Linked DNA regions of Oryctolagus cuniculus. The protein of the gene in region 1 interacts with the protein of each later gene in a biochemical or structural test. Links are inferred from orthologs where the notes say so. Each region holds a gene or a part of one and is shown in the gene's direction. Other genes may lie near its edges. The genes, in order: CUL3, DCUN1D4, DCUN1D3 and PEF1.

Region 1 (3,563 bases):
AATAAATACCTTCTGCATTTTAAAGGAAAAAAAATCATTCTTATTAATTACAGATGGAAAGCCAGAAATTTTTAGCAGAGAACAGTGCTTCCGTATATATAAAGAAAGTAGAAGCTAGAATTAATGAAGAAATAGAACGGGTGATGCACTGCCTTGACAAATCAACTGAAGAACCAATTGTAAAAGTGGTTGAGAGGGAACTCATTTCCAAGCACATGAAGACTATAGTAGAAATGGAGAATTCTGGTCTAGTCCATATGTTGAAAAATGGAAAGACAGAAGGTAGGTGTGTTACCAGTTGAAAATCAGTTAAATTCATATATGACCTATCAATTTTTTTATTCTTCTGCAATTAAAGTAGATTATAAATGTCGGTTTTCAGGAAGTTGTGGTTTGTGTCATTAATTTATTACCTTGTTACTTTCTTTTTTACAATTTTAGGTAGTTCTAGTGAATTGAATGACTTTTCTTTTTCTCCTATCCCTCAAGTCTCCTCACTTTGTTTTTCTTATGTGGACAGTAAGAGGTTTAATAATATTGATGTGACTCGTAGTTGAGCTCCTTATTCATTTCTGTATTTTATTTTTATATAGTGGTGGATTTGGCTACTTACTATGCCCATGTACTCTCAAGTTTTTGTGATTCTTTTAAAATCTGAAATCCACATTTTAAAATTTCTGTAGGATTTTCTGTGGAACTTAATTTTGATAAGTGAGCCAAAATGTAAAAATAAGTTTTTTTAAATTATTAGTAAAATACATACAGGGATATGTGTGATTCCATTATACATATTTCTCAAATGTTGTTAGTACTTGTTGACTTGTAATTTCCTATTAATGAAAACTTGAAACTTTACAATTTCAAACCAACTAAATTATTGAAGGTGAAGCTAAATAAAAATACTGACATATTTAGGAAAACTAATAGATTGGTTTGGAGGAACTCTGAAGTGATAGACTGGTAGAAAAGGAGTAGAAATTACAGAAATTAAAGGTAAGCATTTTTGACCTAATTGTAACATTTATTCTTTAGGGCTTTTTTCTTCCTGTTTAAAAAAAAAAATATTGAGCAGCCTAGGAGAAATATTAGAAGTAGAACAACAACAATCAAAGGATCTCATTCTTCTAAAATTTAAATTTTTCACTTTCTAAACTACTGATAATGGTAATAAACATAAGTAAGCATGATTTATTCTTGCTTTCTTTCCTTGATGAAATCTTAGCAATAACTTAGCCATTTATCCTTACTAAAGGAAATACATGTTTCCTATTGGGTTCATGACCTAAGAAGCAGGGAATGAAAAACATCTTTATGTGAGAGGCAGAGAGAATGCCCCCTTCCTGCTGATCCCCAGATGTCCAAACTTGCAGGAGCTGAGCCTGGCCTGAATTGGGAACCGGGAAATCAATCTAGGTCTCCAACATCATTTGCAGGAACCCAATTAGTTGAGCCATTCATTACCTGCTACTTCTAGAGTACATTTTAGCTAGAATTGGAACTGAGAGCCAGAACCCAGATATGGGCATGCCAGCTGGCATCTTAACCACTCGGCTAACCACCTATCCAGGAAACAGTTTTTCAAAGAAGAGTTGCAAAGGGAGGAAGGTGCATAAGAAAGGAAAAGAAAACTGATAGGAGGAGGGGATTACTCATCTTTTTTTTTTTTTTTTTTTTTTTTTTTGACAGGCAGAGTGGACAGTGAGAGAGAGAGACAGAGAGAAAGGTCTTCTTTTTTTGCCATTGGTTCACCCTCCAATGGCCGCCGCGGCCGGCGCACCGTGCTGATCCGATGGCAGGAGCCAGGTACTTCTCCTGGTCTCCCATGGGGTGCAGGGCCCAAGGACTTGCGCCATCCTCCACTGCACTCCCGGGCCACAGCAGAGAGCTGGCCTGGAAGAGGGGCAACTGGGACAGAATCCGGTGCCCCGACCGGGACTGGAACTCAGTGTGCCGGCACCGCAAGGCGGAGGATTAGCCTAGTGAGCCGCAGCGCTGGCCCATCTATTTTTACTAGTGAAATTCTTGCCTTGTGTTTTTTAATGGTTACATTTCTGTATATGTGACAAATTCATAAAAGTTGTATGTAACTTTGTTGTTTTTATTAAATTTTATTAAATTAAATATCTTAATAAAAGATATTAAATCAGAAACTTCTAATAGGATTTGTCTGATAAACTTGTTTGGTAAAAGCAAAAAAACAAAACAAAAATCATGTTTTAGTTTGTTTGCCATGTTTTATAAAATAAGGTACTCTTGTAACGTTTAAACCGGGGATAGGTGAAGTTCTTTTGGTAAAGGACAAGCTAGTCAATATTTTAGGCTCCGAGGCTATACATTCAATTACTCATCTCTGCTGTCATAGTGAGGATGTAGCCTTAGACAGTAACTCAAATGAATATGCTTGACTGTGTCCGTATAAAACTATTGGATTTTCAGATGTCACTAAATATTTTTCTTTTAATATTTTCTGCAACCATTAAAAAATGTGAAAACCATTTTTAATTTATGAGCTGATCAAAAATAAGTGCCAGCCTGTATTCAGTCCACAGGCTGTAATTTGATGAGCCCTGGCTGAGTAGGACTTTATGAAAAGTGAGAATGATTGTCTATATTAACTGATGTACTATTCAAGGATTGATTTAGTGCTTTCCTGCTTACCTTTAGAATGTGTGGGGAGAGGTGATTAAATACTCAAAAGATTAGGGCTAGGAAATGTTTGATGAAGAGATTGTTGGGATATTCCTGAATTAATACCATCTCTATAACCTGCATGGAGACTTGTGTTAAAGGTATTAATTATGCCTAACATACTTACTTAATGTTTTCAGCAAGTATTTGTGACTCTAAATTAAATTTTTCAATTTTGCCTTCAATTTATTTGAACTGCTGCTGGAAACCTAATTGTGAAATGTCTTAATTGTGGTAGGCCCTGCTCTTGAGCAGTATGTTGAAAGAATATCAGAGACACAACTTCATCATTATGAAGCCAAATTCTCATAAATCAGAAAGTAAAAGACAACTTTGTCACTGTGAATGGAAGATAAAGTTGGATTATTAGATGCAGACAGCACTATGAAATTAAGTTCAAATGGTATCTTTTTATTGTCTTATTAAGTGTATATAGAAATAATGATACTTGATTTTTGAATTTCAAATATTTTTCATTAACTTTTCCATTCTCTACTACCTCATACATTTAAATGAGTACAGTGAAAGTATCTCATACAACATGCAATATCTAAATAAAATTTATAACAACACAAAATACTCAAGTGGGCAACTATTTTGTTAGAGGTATTTATGTCAAATTTACTATTTTACATATTCATAAATAGCTATTGCAATTTTAACACCTATTTTTAAAAGGCGTAACATTTGTATATTCATTATTTGAAAGGCAGAGAGAGAGAGCGCGATCTTCCATCTGCTGGTGCACTCTCCCTATACCGGCGGCAACCAGGGCTGGGCCAGTGTGAAGCCAAGAGCCCAGAACTCCGTTTGAGTATCCAGTATGAGTGGCAGGAACTGAAGTATTTGGGACATTATCTGCTACTTTCTCAGTG
Region 2 (3,563 bases), on another chromosome or scaffold:
GTGCATCCATAATGTCTTTCTCTTATTTGCTAGGCAGAAGATGGTGTTAGTGATTGCGAGCTGCTGGCTGGCACCCTTGCAGAGCAGGAGTAAGTGAGTGCTGCTCAGCTTTCCGGTCCTGTGAGTCTGATCCTTTCCTCCATGTTTTGGCACCGCTGCCAAACACATACGTTGAAATCCTTCATGATCGTCATCAGTTTGTTGGATGGTTATATTGTTGCGAAGAGTCTGTCCAGCTCCTTTGTATCTTTTTTTCTTTTTTGTCACCTTAGTGTATGTCCACTGTGACGGGGACATAGGAGTTGATGATGATGATGATGATGGAAGAAGACACAGTACTTATCAAAGCAAGACTAGAGATTGGGCTTCAGTGACTTGAGTACAAACTCTCCCCAGGGAAAACTTTTCCAGAGGGCCAGTGCTGTCAGCCCCACGCTGCACGAGCTCTTGTGTTGACAAATGGACGTGGCCTGGTCCTGTGGTGCTGCTTGTGTTTCCTAACAGTTTTTCTTGTAGATTGCTTCATAGGATAGTATGCTAATGCCGTCTGCCGCACCTGTGTTATGGAGTAAGAGGAAGTTGCCATTTGCTTGCCCAGTGTATCACTGAAGTATAAGGCCTTGAAACTCAACTAACCAATGAGGCTTGATTGGCAAAAGGCAGGCAATCTCTAGAGCGCCTCTTCTACTGTCCTCTTCTCCACTAGTAATAAATGCACCCCAGAACAGGCAGTCTGCATGGCCAAGGGATGGGTGGAGAATGCCTTGGAGAGGAGGCCCCACTTACTTGCGTAAACTGGGGAACTACAGCATCCCTGCCATCTTGAGACTTCAGCTGCCTGTCAGCAGAGAAGGGTGACTTGGAGCCACCTGACCTCTTCTCTTTGTGAACAGTGGTCACACTTTATGACTGGGACCAAAACTCAGATCTACTGCACATCTCCGTTAAGTAGCACGTCTCTGTGTCTTCATCTCCCTTGTGTGCTGTTATTGACTAAGGCCCTTACATTGGCTGTATTGTTTCTTCACTTTTAAAGTCAGTGGCATGCCTCAAATTCTTTGTATACTGAAGAGCATTTCACTGTTTGAGTCCTTGAGGTGACAGTTAATTCTACCTGAAGGGACATGTAGTTGCATGCCACAGCATCGTCCCTTACTTTGGTGAATATTTAGATTCAACTCCTGTGGGGTAGCCAGGCACTTTCTCCCTTTGTCAAAAAATATGTTTACATATTTTCTCTCTTATTAAGAAACCATGTGGTGGCCAGCTTTGTAAGGTTACTACCACTAGTCCCAGGCCCTCCATCCCTTTCCATAGAAACTACCCCCTTGTGGTTCCAGAATGGAAACTTGTAAGAAAGATGAGAATGAGGAATCAGGATCGTTAACTGCAAATGTAAATGGACTAAACGTAATCTAGGTTTGTGTACTCTCTCTTCTGGTTTCCTAGGAAATATTGTCCTTTGCTTGTTTACTAGTTTGGGGGTATTTGGTTAGGAGATTCAAGTCTGAGAACTCCAAGGTAAGCAGGGCTTTATAGGCAGACATCCTACTTGCCCCGGAGCCTGTGGATGAACACATCCTTTGATAGGGGAGCCTCAAAGCCCCAACGATTATTAACAATTTAATTCTAGCATGCTTAGGTATGAACAAAAATTTACCTCATAAGGTAAAACTATTGGAAAAAATGATTTGTTTTTGAAGGAAACCTGATTCCTAAGCATGCAAATCAAAACCTTTAAATTAAGTTATAGGCTTTAAGATCAACAATTGTGATTTTATAATTACAAATGTCAAGTCAAGCTATCGAGTTACAGATTTTTATTTTTCTTGGGAAATGAGTACTGGTACTACATAACTCAGTGATTTTGCATCAGGATCATCATTCAGTAGACATGAGTTTCTTACAGTAAATTTATAATTTATATAGTACTGACACGTTCAAGCCTTCCGCCATGTTTGACTGCCTTCCCTCCCCCGCCTTAGCTTTTGAATCAGGGTTTTTGTGGTTATATGGTAAATGAGCTGTTTACTAATTTCTTGTTGAAGTGAAATACAAATTTGGATGATTGGAATTTGTTATTTTGGGGGCATCTGGCTCATCCTTGTTTTTGTTTGTTAAACAGGAAAAGGACCAGCGCAGCCTAGACATAAACACTGCCAAGTGCATGTTGGGACTGTTATTAGGAAAAATCTGGCCCCTTTTTCCAGTTTTTCACCAATTCTTAGAGGTACCAAATTGTTATTTTATGAAATGTATGTTTGCTTGCTTAGAACTACCAAATATACTTTAACCATTTTATGTAATGTTTTTGTTTGTTGTGCTTTCTGCCTGTAGGAATTCTGGTGACAAACTTGCTGTCATTCAGCAATGACCTCTCTTCTCGGAGCGCATTTGTGTATGCGTGTAACACTGTGTTGCATCACTCCACGTTACAGATATGTCAGAAATGGCCACAGCTCTGTCCTTTCCTCTCCTTTCTCATCTCCATTTTAAAAGCTTCATTTTGTTTAGATTTCCTGCTCCTTATAACAATGGAGAAGACCGGCTTTCTTTTGGAGGAACTTCCACTTTTATTAAGTAAAGGTTAAAAAAACAGTCATCTGCCTTCTTACTAAAATCAGTTTGTTGTCACTTCTTGTCTACTTTTATCTCTAAGGACCTTAGCTCAGTCTAGTCCTAGGCAAACTGACAGTATCTCCTTTGGTTTAACTTTTCTTCAGCTTTGTATCAGAAAGAATCCATTACCTTACACCATCATTGTGTTTTGTTGAAGTATTGGTGACTGAATATTCTGGTTGTTGTTGAAATGTCATCATGCAGGATCTGGAGGGATCTGAGATACAGACTGGAATTACTTGGGTTGTCATGTATCTTGGCTAAGCCCTTTTTTTTTTTTTTAAAAAAAAAAAATGCCCTCAGCCTGCAGAGATGTGGGTGCTGGGTCTCTGAGAAAGTCCAGGGCCTTCCCTTGGCTCCAGCTTCCCTCTTGAAGTCATCCTTCTTGCGACTTACTTTGTGTAATGGTCCAGAAAAGCTTAGCAACAGATACCGTTCTTTGAGGACTGTTATTAAAGTTGGTCTTAATGTAAGAAACATTTGTTTACACACTAGTTCATATGTACATTCTTGTATGGCTTGTTCTAATTTCTCAGACAACCCTATGAGATAAATTAGCACCATTCAGAAAATAAATGGACTCGGTTCTTGTTCTCAGCAAGCACAGCAGGACCTGAGCCTGAGTGTAAAGGTTTCTTTAGCCGAAAGACATTGCCAATTTGACTTTGCACAATTCTGGGAGCATTGTCAACTATTTTAAGACTGGTTTTTATTTTTAGGTGCATAGAAAGCTAAAAAAGAAACAGTAATTTTTTGATTTCTGCTTTTCTTGTGTTTGCATCCTTAAAATCATTGGTAACTCTCTGGGCTTTTTATGTACCTGTATTATTTTATGATATTTCTTGATCTCAGTGGTGAGGATTTATAAATTTTTGGCTCCAGATTTTATTTCTAAATTTATAATGATATAAGGATACAGTATTTAAAATATAACTATGGCTTAT
Region 3 (4,299 bases), on another chromosome or scaffold:
TTCTGAGTCCTAGGATCTCTGCTTCTGATCCAGCTTCCTCCTAATGCATCCTGGGAGGCAGCCTAAGTGCCTGGGAGGCTTAAGTGCTTGGGCTCTTTCCACCCATGGAGAGACCTGGATGGACTTCTAGGTTCCTGGCTTTGGCCTGGCCCAGCATAGTTGTTGTGGGCATTTGGGGAGTGAACCAGCACAAGAAAGATCTCTGTGTCTCTGTCTCTGTTGCCATTTAAGTAGATAAAAATAAACACGTAAGAAAAAAAGGAGCCCTGGATAGACAGGGTAGTCTCAGAGAAATTACATTCCCTTTAGGTCCCTTTCCGATGGGGGTGGCAGGGCCCCAAGCACTGGGGCCATCATCTGCTGCCTCCCAAGATGCAGGAGCAGGAGGCTGGGTCAGAAACTGAGTAGCTAGGACTCCAGGACGGCATGTGAGCATCCCAAGCAGTGGCTTATCCTTTTGCATCACAATTCCTGCCCCCATATCCTACCATTTTTAGAAGATCGTATTTAGACAAATCAGTCCTTTAGAGCAGAGACACATACCCCATTAGAAGCCTGCTAGGACTGTCATGTTTAATGAGAACTTGGCATGCATTCTGTACAGCCTCACTAAAGACATAAAAGGGAGGGAATAAAAAAAAAAAAAGCTCCTAGGTTAGGAGACTTTGCTTGGAGTACAGGGATGGTGAATGGCTTCCGTAGCTGAGCAAAGAAAGGGCCTTACACCTGCTATGTGGGATAGGCCCAGAAAGGGATCTGGAGAGATCAGGGATGAACTTTACTTTGATGTTTGGTTCTGCCCTTGTTCGCAGGCCTGACACTGCAAATCCCTTACCTCATTGTTAAGCTATTGTGAGACCCTATAGTTGTTTTGGGTATGGCCACTCCCTCCCTCTATTAATCCCATGTATGGAAAAAGAAAATCTGAGTGTGACGGTGTTAAAAACTAGAAAATAAACCTTATATTTGTACCCTCTGGCTTAATCCAGGTCCACATAAATTTTTTGCATGATGATGAATTGGCAAGACAGATTTCCTCTGGAATATTTGGCAGAACTGTGGTCTTTGATGTGTTCTGCACATGAATCAGCTTCTTTGTAACCTGTTACCTTAAGAATTTTAGGAATTTCCCATATTGGTTTTCCATATGTGCCATAGCCACTGCTTTTCCAAGGCAAGTTACAGAGCTGGCTTATCAGGGAGGTGATCTCCCTTCATTCCTTGTTGGCTCATTGAAACGCAGTGATCCCCAGGAAGCAGTCCCCAGAGGGTGGTGCCCCCGCCCATGCCCTGTGTTCTGTGTTCAAGAGGTGACTGCTTTCCAATTTCCTCCCAGGTTGGCTGGTTCCTCTGGCTGATGGCATGTTGAAGTACATGGGCCAGCGGCAGCGAGGGCATCCATTCCAGAGGGGGCCACTTTAGAGGCCAGGCCGCCAGCACCATGGGCCAGTGTGTCACCAAGTGCAAGAATCCCTCATCAACCTTGGGCAGCAAGAATGGAGACCGGGACTCCAGCAGCAAATCACACAGCAGGCGAAGTGCAGGCCACCGTGAGGAACAGGTGCCACCTTGTGGCAAGCCAGGTGGGGATATCCTCGTCAATGGGACCAAGAAGGCGGAGGCTGCCACTGAGGTCTGCCAGTTGCCAACGTCCTCGGGAGATGCTGGGAGGGAGTCCAAGTCCAATGCTGAAGAGTCTTCCTTGCAGAGGTTGGAAGAACTGTTCAGGCGCTACAAGGACGAGCGGGAGGATGCAATTTTGGAAGAAGGCATGGAACGCTTTTGCAATGACCTATGTGTCGACCCCACGGAATTTCGAGTGCTGCTCTTGGCTTGGAAGTTCCAGGCTGCTACCATGTGCAAATTCACCAGGTTAGTTACAAATACTTCATGTTACCAGGTGAGCAGAGGAGGAAACGGAGCAATGTTGTGCAGGAGTGCTCAGCTAGGATAACTGGGTCAGCTGCATGGGGTTTGGGGAAGGGAAAATCCTTGTGCTCTGACCAGTTTCTCAAAAGCAGATGTTTTGAGCTAAGTTGTGTTCCTGATCCAGAGAAGGCCTCCCCCTGCCACCTCCCTCCCAAGACTCCTCTGAGGGTTTAAAAAAGTAAGTGCCTGACTCTGTAGCAGACCCACTCAATAGGAATCTTGAGGTACTTGAGAATTCACTGTCCGTCCTGTGGCAGGTGCTGTGTGTGCCAGTACAGTGAGAACCTCCAGGGATGTGCCTCTGCCACTCCGTGAGCCCAGTTGTCCCTTCTCATCCTTACCGTATTGCCCTCAGCCAGACCTGTATGAAACAAGGACAGGTGGCCCAGTTATCAAGCAGCAGTTTCATGTCGTTGTGGTCTTATATCCCTGTAGAAGTTGCTTGTGGGTGAAGACGTGACAGGGTCACCCCAAGGGGTGGTTTGCTGAGCGCAGGTTATGAGACCTGGCCAAGCCATTTCTAGTCTATATGCCCCCAGGTAGCTTACCCTCCAGACCTGGACTCCCTAATCTTGGTGGGTACAGCAGTCCCAGAGAGGAAACCGTGCTGTCAGCTGGAAGTGTTACAAAGATGTTAAATATGTGTACGCAAGTTTTGTTATTTAATAGCACAGTTTTTATCTCTGGTGGCAGACTTAAATTTTATCCTGCCTCTCGGGCTCCAGAAGTGTCTCTTGGCTGTCACCAGAAAGATACCAAAACAACCCAGAGAGAATCGAAAGGGAGGCAGGAAGGCTTCTCCATCGAGGAGAAAGAGGCTGCAACCTCATCACCAGTGCAGGGCAGCAGACCCAGCAGGAGGCAGGGGACTAGCTGCCTGCCGTGTGCTTGGCAGTGTTGGAAACACTCGGTACTCGTGCTAACGTGTTTACCCCTCACCAGAACCCTGCAAGGTGAGGTGTAACATTTACTCACCACTTGGCAGATGAGGAAGGAGGACTACTTAGTGCAGGAGCTGGCATTTGATCCAGGCCATCCTGCCTCAATGCCATACTCTTGATTACTATACTCTGTTGCCCTCGGTAAATAATATCGGTTATAACTAATTTGTGCCTTCTTTCTGTTGCAGGAAGGAGTTTTTCGATGGCTGCAAGGCAATAAGTGCAGACAGCATTGACGGGATCTGTGCGCGGTTCCCTAGCCTCTTAACAGAAGCCAAACAGGAGGATAAATTCAAGGATCTCTACCGGTTTACATTTCAGTTTGGCCTGGACTCTGAAGAAGGGCAGCGGTCACTGCATCGGGAAATAGCCATTGCCCTGTGGAAACTAGTCTTCACTCAAAACAACCCTCCAGTATTGGACCAGTGGCTAAACTTCCTAACAGAGAACCCCTCGGGGATCAAGGGCATCTCCCGGGACACTTGGAACATGTTCCTTAACTTCACTCAGGTGATTGGCCCCGACCTCAGCAACTACAGTGAAGATGAGGCCTGGCCAAGTCTCTTTGATACCTTTGTGGAGTGGGAAATGGAGCGAAGGAAAAGAGAAGGGGAAGGGAGAGGTGCACTCAGCTCAGGGCCCGAGGGCTTGTGTCCCGAGGAGCAGACTTAGTGGCTCTGTCCCAGGAGCAGCAGCAAAGAGCTGCCTGCTGTCCTGCAGCCAACCAAGGAATTGGACCTTTCTGGAAATTACTGAAGATCCGGATATTTTCTACTTTACACCTTTCTCTGCCTTGTATCTGAAAGGGCTCTAAAATGCTGTATCATGTTTTAGGCACTTTCTTCATTTTTTGGTTATTTTGGTTATTTCTTTTTTTTGGGGGGGGTAATCCCCCAAAATATTTGAACCTGGCTACATGTTGTGTATCTTTTTTTGAAGCCTTCAGATAGAATAAGTCTGCCATTTCTTGCACAAATTGGATGATTTTTTTTTTTTTTTTTGGTGGGGGCCAGTATAGAGCCGGGTGGGGGGAATGGGACTGTTCGGTTGAATTAACATTACAAAATGATACAGTGCCAGATCTCAGTTTTGCATACTGTTTTTCAGGGCAGGTCTGTACTGTGTGTAGTGCTGTTTACATGGTTGAATTTAGGTTGTAATAATTATTTTTAAAGATTTACACAGATTTTGAGTAGCAGTGTTAACTGTTAACCACATTGCATTAATTTCCAGACAAGTTTAGAGCTCTTGGGGAGCTGAGGCCAGTCAAGAGCGTTTGTGTAGTCTGGTGATAACTTCCCTTTTAAGCTAATTTATCCAAAACCCTTATTTCCCTCACTTCTTGCTCATTCCTTCTTTGACCTACTGCATTTCATGTTGAATTTATCCATGAACATGCTGCACCTGTCAGTCAAGTGAGCAGTGTTTT
Region 4 (4,179 bases), on another chromosome or scaffold:
GAAGAGCACCCACTGCAAGCTGTCCAGCGGGCAAGGAGCATGGTCAGTGCCATGGTTTTAGGAAGTGCCCGGCTACGCGGTTAGATAGATGGGCTGCACTGGATTACAATTCAGAACACCAACCTACTCGTTATTTACTAAAAACTCAGTGCCAGGCTCCGTACCAGGAACCCACAGCAAACGAGGGCAAATCGCTGCCTCTCAGGAGCAGTTTCCTCATTTATGAAGACAAAGGGCATGGGATAATCTTATTTTCTGCCAACCCTGCGGTTTAATATTTTCTTCTGTACCTAAAAGGTAGTCGATACAGGTGAAATTGGCACTTTGAGATGCGATGACTTTGGACAGCCCTTGTCTCGACTGTTGAGGAAGAGTTTTTTTTTTTTTTTTTTTTCATACTATCTGTTGAACTCTTTACTTAGTGTAGCTAATCTTGTGTGTACAAAGTTTATTGAGAGGGGGCTGGCGCTGTGGTGTAGTTGGTAAAAAGCTGCTGCCTGCGATGCCGGCATCCCATGTGGGCACTGGTTGGAGTCCCAGCTGCTCTACTTCCAATCTCTCTGCTGTGGCCTGGCAAAGCAGTGGAAGATGGCCCAACTTCTTGGGCCCCTGCACCGGCGTGGGAGACCCGAGGGAGGCTCCTGGCTTTGGATCGGCTCAGCTCCAGCCGTTGCGGCCAGTTGGGGAGTGAACCAGCGGATGGAAGACCTCTCTCTCTCTCTCTCTGCCTCTTCCTCTCTCTCTGGGTAGCTCTAAATTTCAAATAAATAAATAAATCTTTAAAAAACTGAGAATAGATCTTAGTGGAAAATAAGAATGGGAACAGGAGTGGGAGGAATAGGAAGGGTGGCAGTGCAGGTGGGAAGAATCAGTATGTTCCTAAAGTCGTATTTATGAAACGCAGAAAGTTTGTATACCTTAAACAAAAGGTTTCTGGGTAAAAAAACACTTTCTTCTCCCAAAAACCTCAGATTTTACACCACTCCACGGCTACCGTCACCTGGTGCCTTAGAGCAGTGATTCCACCATCGCCTGTCCCTTCCAGGAGGCCGCAAGCAGTCCCCCGTCGTCATGGCAACAGTCGTCCCAGCTAGGCGGAAACTTGGCGTGACGACAGCAACTACGCCACTATCATGCGTCCCCTTTTCCAGGTTATAATATGGCCACCGCAGCTACACAGAACCCGGATTTTCTCACTAAATACTCGGGCCTCACCAGCCCTGGAGCCTACTCCAGGTCAGGAAAGAGAGGAACACACATGCCAAGACAGCTGCCAAAACTTCCGGAAACCTCCGCCCAGAGCTAAGCTCCTCTGGTCAGGCGGGAAGAAGGCCCCCACCCTGTAGCGTCACTTCCGTCGGCCAACATATTTAGGATTGACAGTCACGGGCGTCCACTGAAAAGCGGGTCCGCCCCCCGGTTTACGCAAAGGGCGGGTTTGAGAGCATGAAGCCCCGCCCCTCGTTGACGTGTGACGTCAGAGTCGCCATGGCGAGCTATCCGTACGGGCAGGTGAGTGTGTGAGGGGTTGGTGAGTGCAGATAGGGGCCGTGCCAGGCCCAAACTGGGGGTCTCCTCAGCTCTTCTTCCCCCGGCTTTCACCGCGTGCTTTCCACGCTGAAAGTTCGCTTCAGCGAAGCTTCGCGCGAGAGGGAAGGGGAAAGGCACGGTCGGTCGCACCCGGCTCACGTCATACGGGACAGCGCGAGTGGGCTGTCTTGTCGCGCCCCCTCTGACGTCGCGCCTGCGAGAATTTGGAGGCCTTGGACCCCGCCTGGGCTCTGCGCGCTCCCTCAGGCCCCGAGGCCCTCGCGGGGAACCCGGGCGGGCTCTTCAGCGGAGCTCTGTTTCCTCTGGCATCATCTGGGGCGTGGGGTGGGGAAGCAGCAGGTGTCCGGACCCAGCCCACACGCAGTGCTGGAGACTAATCGGGGTTCTGTGGTTGAGCTGGTTTGACTGCTGTGTAACACGTCCATTTTCCGCAGGGAGAGTGAAGCCCCGACGGCGGCGGGCGGTTTAGGTAGCAGAGCTGAGGTCCGCCGGGCCGGGCTGGCCGTGGCCAGAGCTCTATGTGGGTGACAGAATAGGAGGTGATTAAGTGCAGTTTGGAGTCAGAGGAGGGTCTGCCCCAGGCTCCATCAGTAGTCTTGAGCCCTTGAGCAAGGTGTTTTGTCTCTCCAAGCGAAGTGCCCTCTCTAGAACAGCGCCGGCTCAGACGCCGAGTCATGGAGCTGTTAGACCCAGGCGAGGCTTGTGAAGCGGGGGGCACCAGACTCCTAAAAGCTCAGTGCTAGGAGGGCCCCCAAAATGGCCCCCTCGTTTTACAGAGGAGGCTGAAACCCAGAGAGGGCCCTGCATTGTCCACGGTTGCACATCAGGAAACATCAGACGGTGACCAGATGGGATATTACAGAGCACCAGACGGAGTGTAGTTTGGTCACGTGCCTAAAGATGCGGTGCCAGTCCTTCCCGGGAGAGCAGCCTTGTGCTGTTGACACAGCGTCTGGAGCCCCGTTTTCCAGGGGTGGACGCCCCGGAGGCAAGCAGGGGTTACTCGGGTTACTCCCCCCCCCCCCAGCTGAGGGAAGAAGTCAGGTGGCTTGACAGAGGTCACACCCAGCCAGTGAGGCCAGGGCTGGAGCTTAGAACCCCATTCATTGCTGGATTGGCACAGGTAGGGAGGAGAGGGACCAGTGAGGGCTGGGGGCAGGAGGAAGTAGAATGGAATAGTGTTTCCCAAACTCGTTCCATTGCTGAGTTGTGGGGTCCAGTAGATAATTGCCATTAGAGGAGGATCCTAGGGTCAAGTAAGTTTGTTCATGGAGAACTTCAGAATTTTTTAAAGTTGTTTTATTGCAAAAGCAGAGAGAGAGACATTTTCCATCTGCTGGCTCACCCCTCAAATGTGTATGACAACCAAGGCTGTGTGGGGCCAAAGCCAGGAGCCCAGAATTTGATCTGGGTCTCTCCCATGTGGGTGACAGGGACCCAGGTACTTGAGCCATCATCTGCACCCTCCCAGGGTGCACCTCAGCAGGAAGCTGGCTGGGGAGCAGAGCAGCCAGGATCCAACTAGGCCCTTCCACATGGGACACAGGTGTCCCAAGCCGCGGCTTAACTGCCTTTTAAAAAAACTGGTCATTTTTGTGGTGACGTTAGGATTCCCGAGTAACACAGACTGGGAAATCATGGCCACAGTGTGTTGTTTCTCAGTGGCTGGTCCTAAGCATCGGAATCACCAGAGAGCTTGTTAAAAATACACTTTTGGGTCCCATCTCTGACATGTTCTAGGCCCAAAAATGGCCCAGGAAACTGCATTTTAATAAGCTTTAGGGGTGGTTTTGTATGCAGCTAAGGAGCAACGACAGGTTAGGCAGAGCTGGGCTAGACTCTTTTTTTTTTCTTTTTTTAAAGATTTATTTATTTGAAAGGCAAGGTTACAGAAAGCAGAGAGAGAGAGAGAGAGGAGAGGTGTCTTCCATCCGCTGGTTCACTCCCCAAATGGCTACAACAGCCAGAGCTGAGCCGATCTGAAGCCAGGAGCCAGGAGCTTCCTCCAAGTCTCCCAGGTGGGTGCAGGGGTCCAAGGACTTGAGCCATCCTCCACTGCTTTCCCAGGTCAGAGAGCTGGATTGGAAGTGGAGCAGCCAGGACTCGAACCGGCGTCCACATGGGATGCCAGCTCTGCAGGCGGCGGCTCCCGGGCTGGACTCTTAATTACCATGTGCCTTAGACAAGCTAGACTCTGAGCCGCAGTGTCTTCAGCTATAAAGAGGAACAGGAGCTGTGCTAATACCTGATCAGACCTTCGCTAACAATGCAGTGACCCTGGGAGTCCTCTCACTGTCTTCCCCCGACTTCCCCACAGCCCAGATTCCGCCTCAGTTGGTGGCTGTCCCGCCTGCATCTTGTGCAAGCTGGAAACCTGTTAAAAGGGCTGAAATGAGGATGAAATGTAATGACACCTATGTAAGGGAGCTTGCCACGTTGTTGGTACACAGCAAATGCCAATGCATAGTGGTAGCTCTTGGTGCCGCAGTTGCTGTTATGCCACACTCCCTGGGCTCTGCCCGTAGTGAACTGCTGGATAGGTGTGCAAAGAACAATGTGTAGAAATCCTCCAAGTGGGAGAGTAATGCAGACATGTAAATCCTACGTAGAATCGGAGTGATCAGTGGT

The links.
Region 2: the proteins of CUL3 (region 1) and DCUN1D4 form a complex in vitro, tested with the Homo sapiens proteins (2 studies listed by BioGRID, with this or other methods). The link is inferred for Oryctolagus cuniculus from reciprocal best matches to the Homo sapiens genes CUL3 and DCUN1D4.
Region 3: the proteins of CUL3 (region 1) and DCUN1D3 form a complex in vitro, tested with the Homo sapiens proteins (3 studies listed by BioGRID, with this or other methods). The link is inferred for Oryctolagus cuniculus from reciprocal best matches to the Homo sapiens genes CUL3 and DCUN1D3.
Region 4: the proteins of CUL3 (region 1) and PEF1 form a complex in vitro, tested with the Homo sapiens proteins (2 studies listed by BioGRID). The link is inferred for Oryctolagus cuniculus from reciprocal best matches to the Homo sapiens genes CUL3 and PEF1.

Annotation. Positions count from the first base shown.
Region 1 is NC_091434.1:14,714,508-14,718,070, forward strand, and holds part of CUL3 (cullin-3), read left to right. Parts: intron 1-53; coding exon 54-282; intron 283-3,563. UniProt on the Homo sapiens protein: Core component of multiple cullin-RING-based BCR (BTB-CUL3-RBX1) E3 ubiquitin-protein ligase complexes which mediate the ubiquitination and subsequent proteasomal degradation of target proteins.
Region 2 is NC_091433.1:42,285,364-42,288,926, forward strand, and holds part of DCUN1D4 (DCN1-like protein 4), read left to right. Parts: intron 1-33; exon of another isoform or gene 34-89; intron 90-2,125; coding exon 2,126-2,230; intron 2,231-3,563. UniProt on the Homo sapiens protein: Contributes to the neddylation of all cullins by transferring NEDD8 from N-terminally acetylated NEDD8-conjugating E2s enzyme to different cullin C-terminal domain-RBX complexes which are necessary for the activation of cullin-RING E3 ubiquitin ligases (CRLs).
Region 3 is NC_091450.1:18,308,832-18,313,130, forward strand, and holds the start of DCUN1D3 (DCN1-like protein 3), read left to right. Parts: upstream 1-1,441; coding exon 1,442-1,872; exon of another isoform or gene 1,873-2,280; coding exon of another isoform or gene 2,281-2,290; exon of another isoform or gene 2,291-3,058; coding exon 3,059-3,542; 3' UTR 3,543-4,299. UniProt on the Homo sapiens protein: Contributes to the neddylation of all cullins by transferring NEDD8 from N-terminally acetylated NEDD8-conjugating E2s enzyme to different cullin C-terminal domain-RBX complexes and may play a role in the cell cycle progression by regulating the SCF ubiquitin E3 ligase complex, after UV damage.
Region 4 is NC_091438.1:140,775,597-140,779,775, forward strand, and holds the start of PEF1 (peflin), read left to right. Parts: upstream 1-1,342; 5' UTR 1,343-1,446; coding exon 1,447-1,512; intron 1,513-4,179. UniProt on the Homo sapiens protein: Calcium-binding protein that acts as an adapter that bridges unrelated proteins or stabilizes weak protein-protein complexes in response to calcium.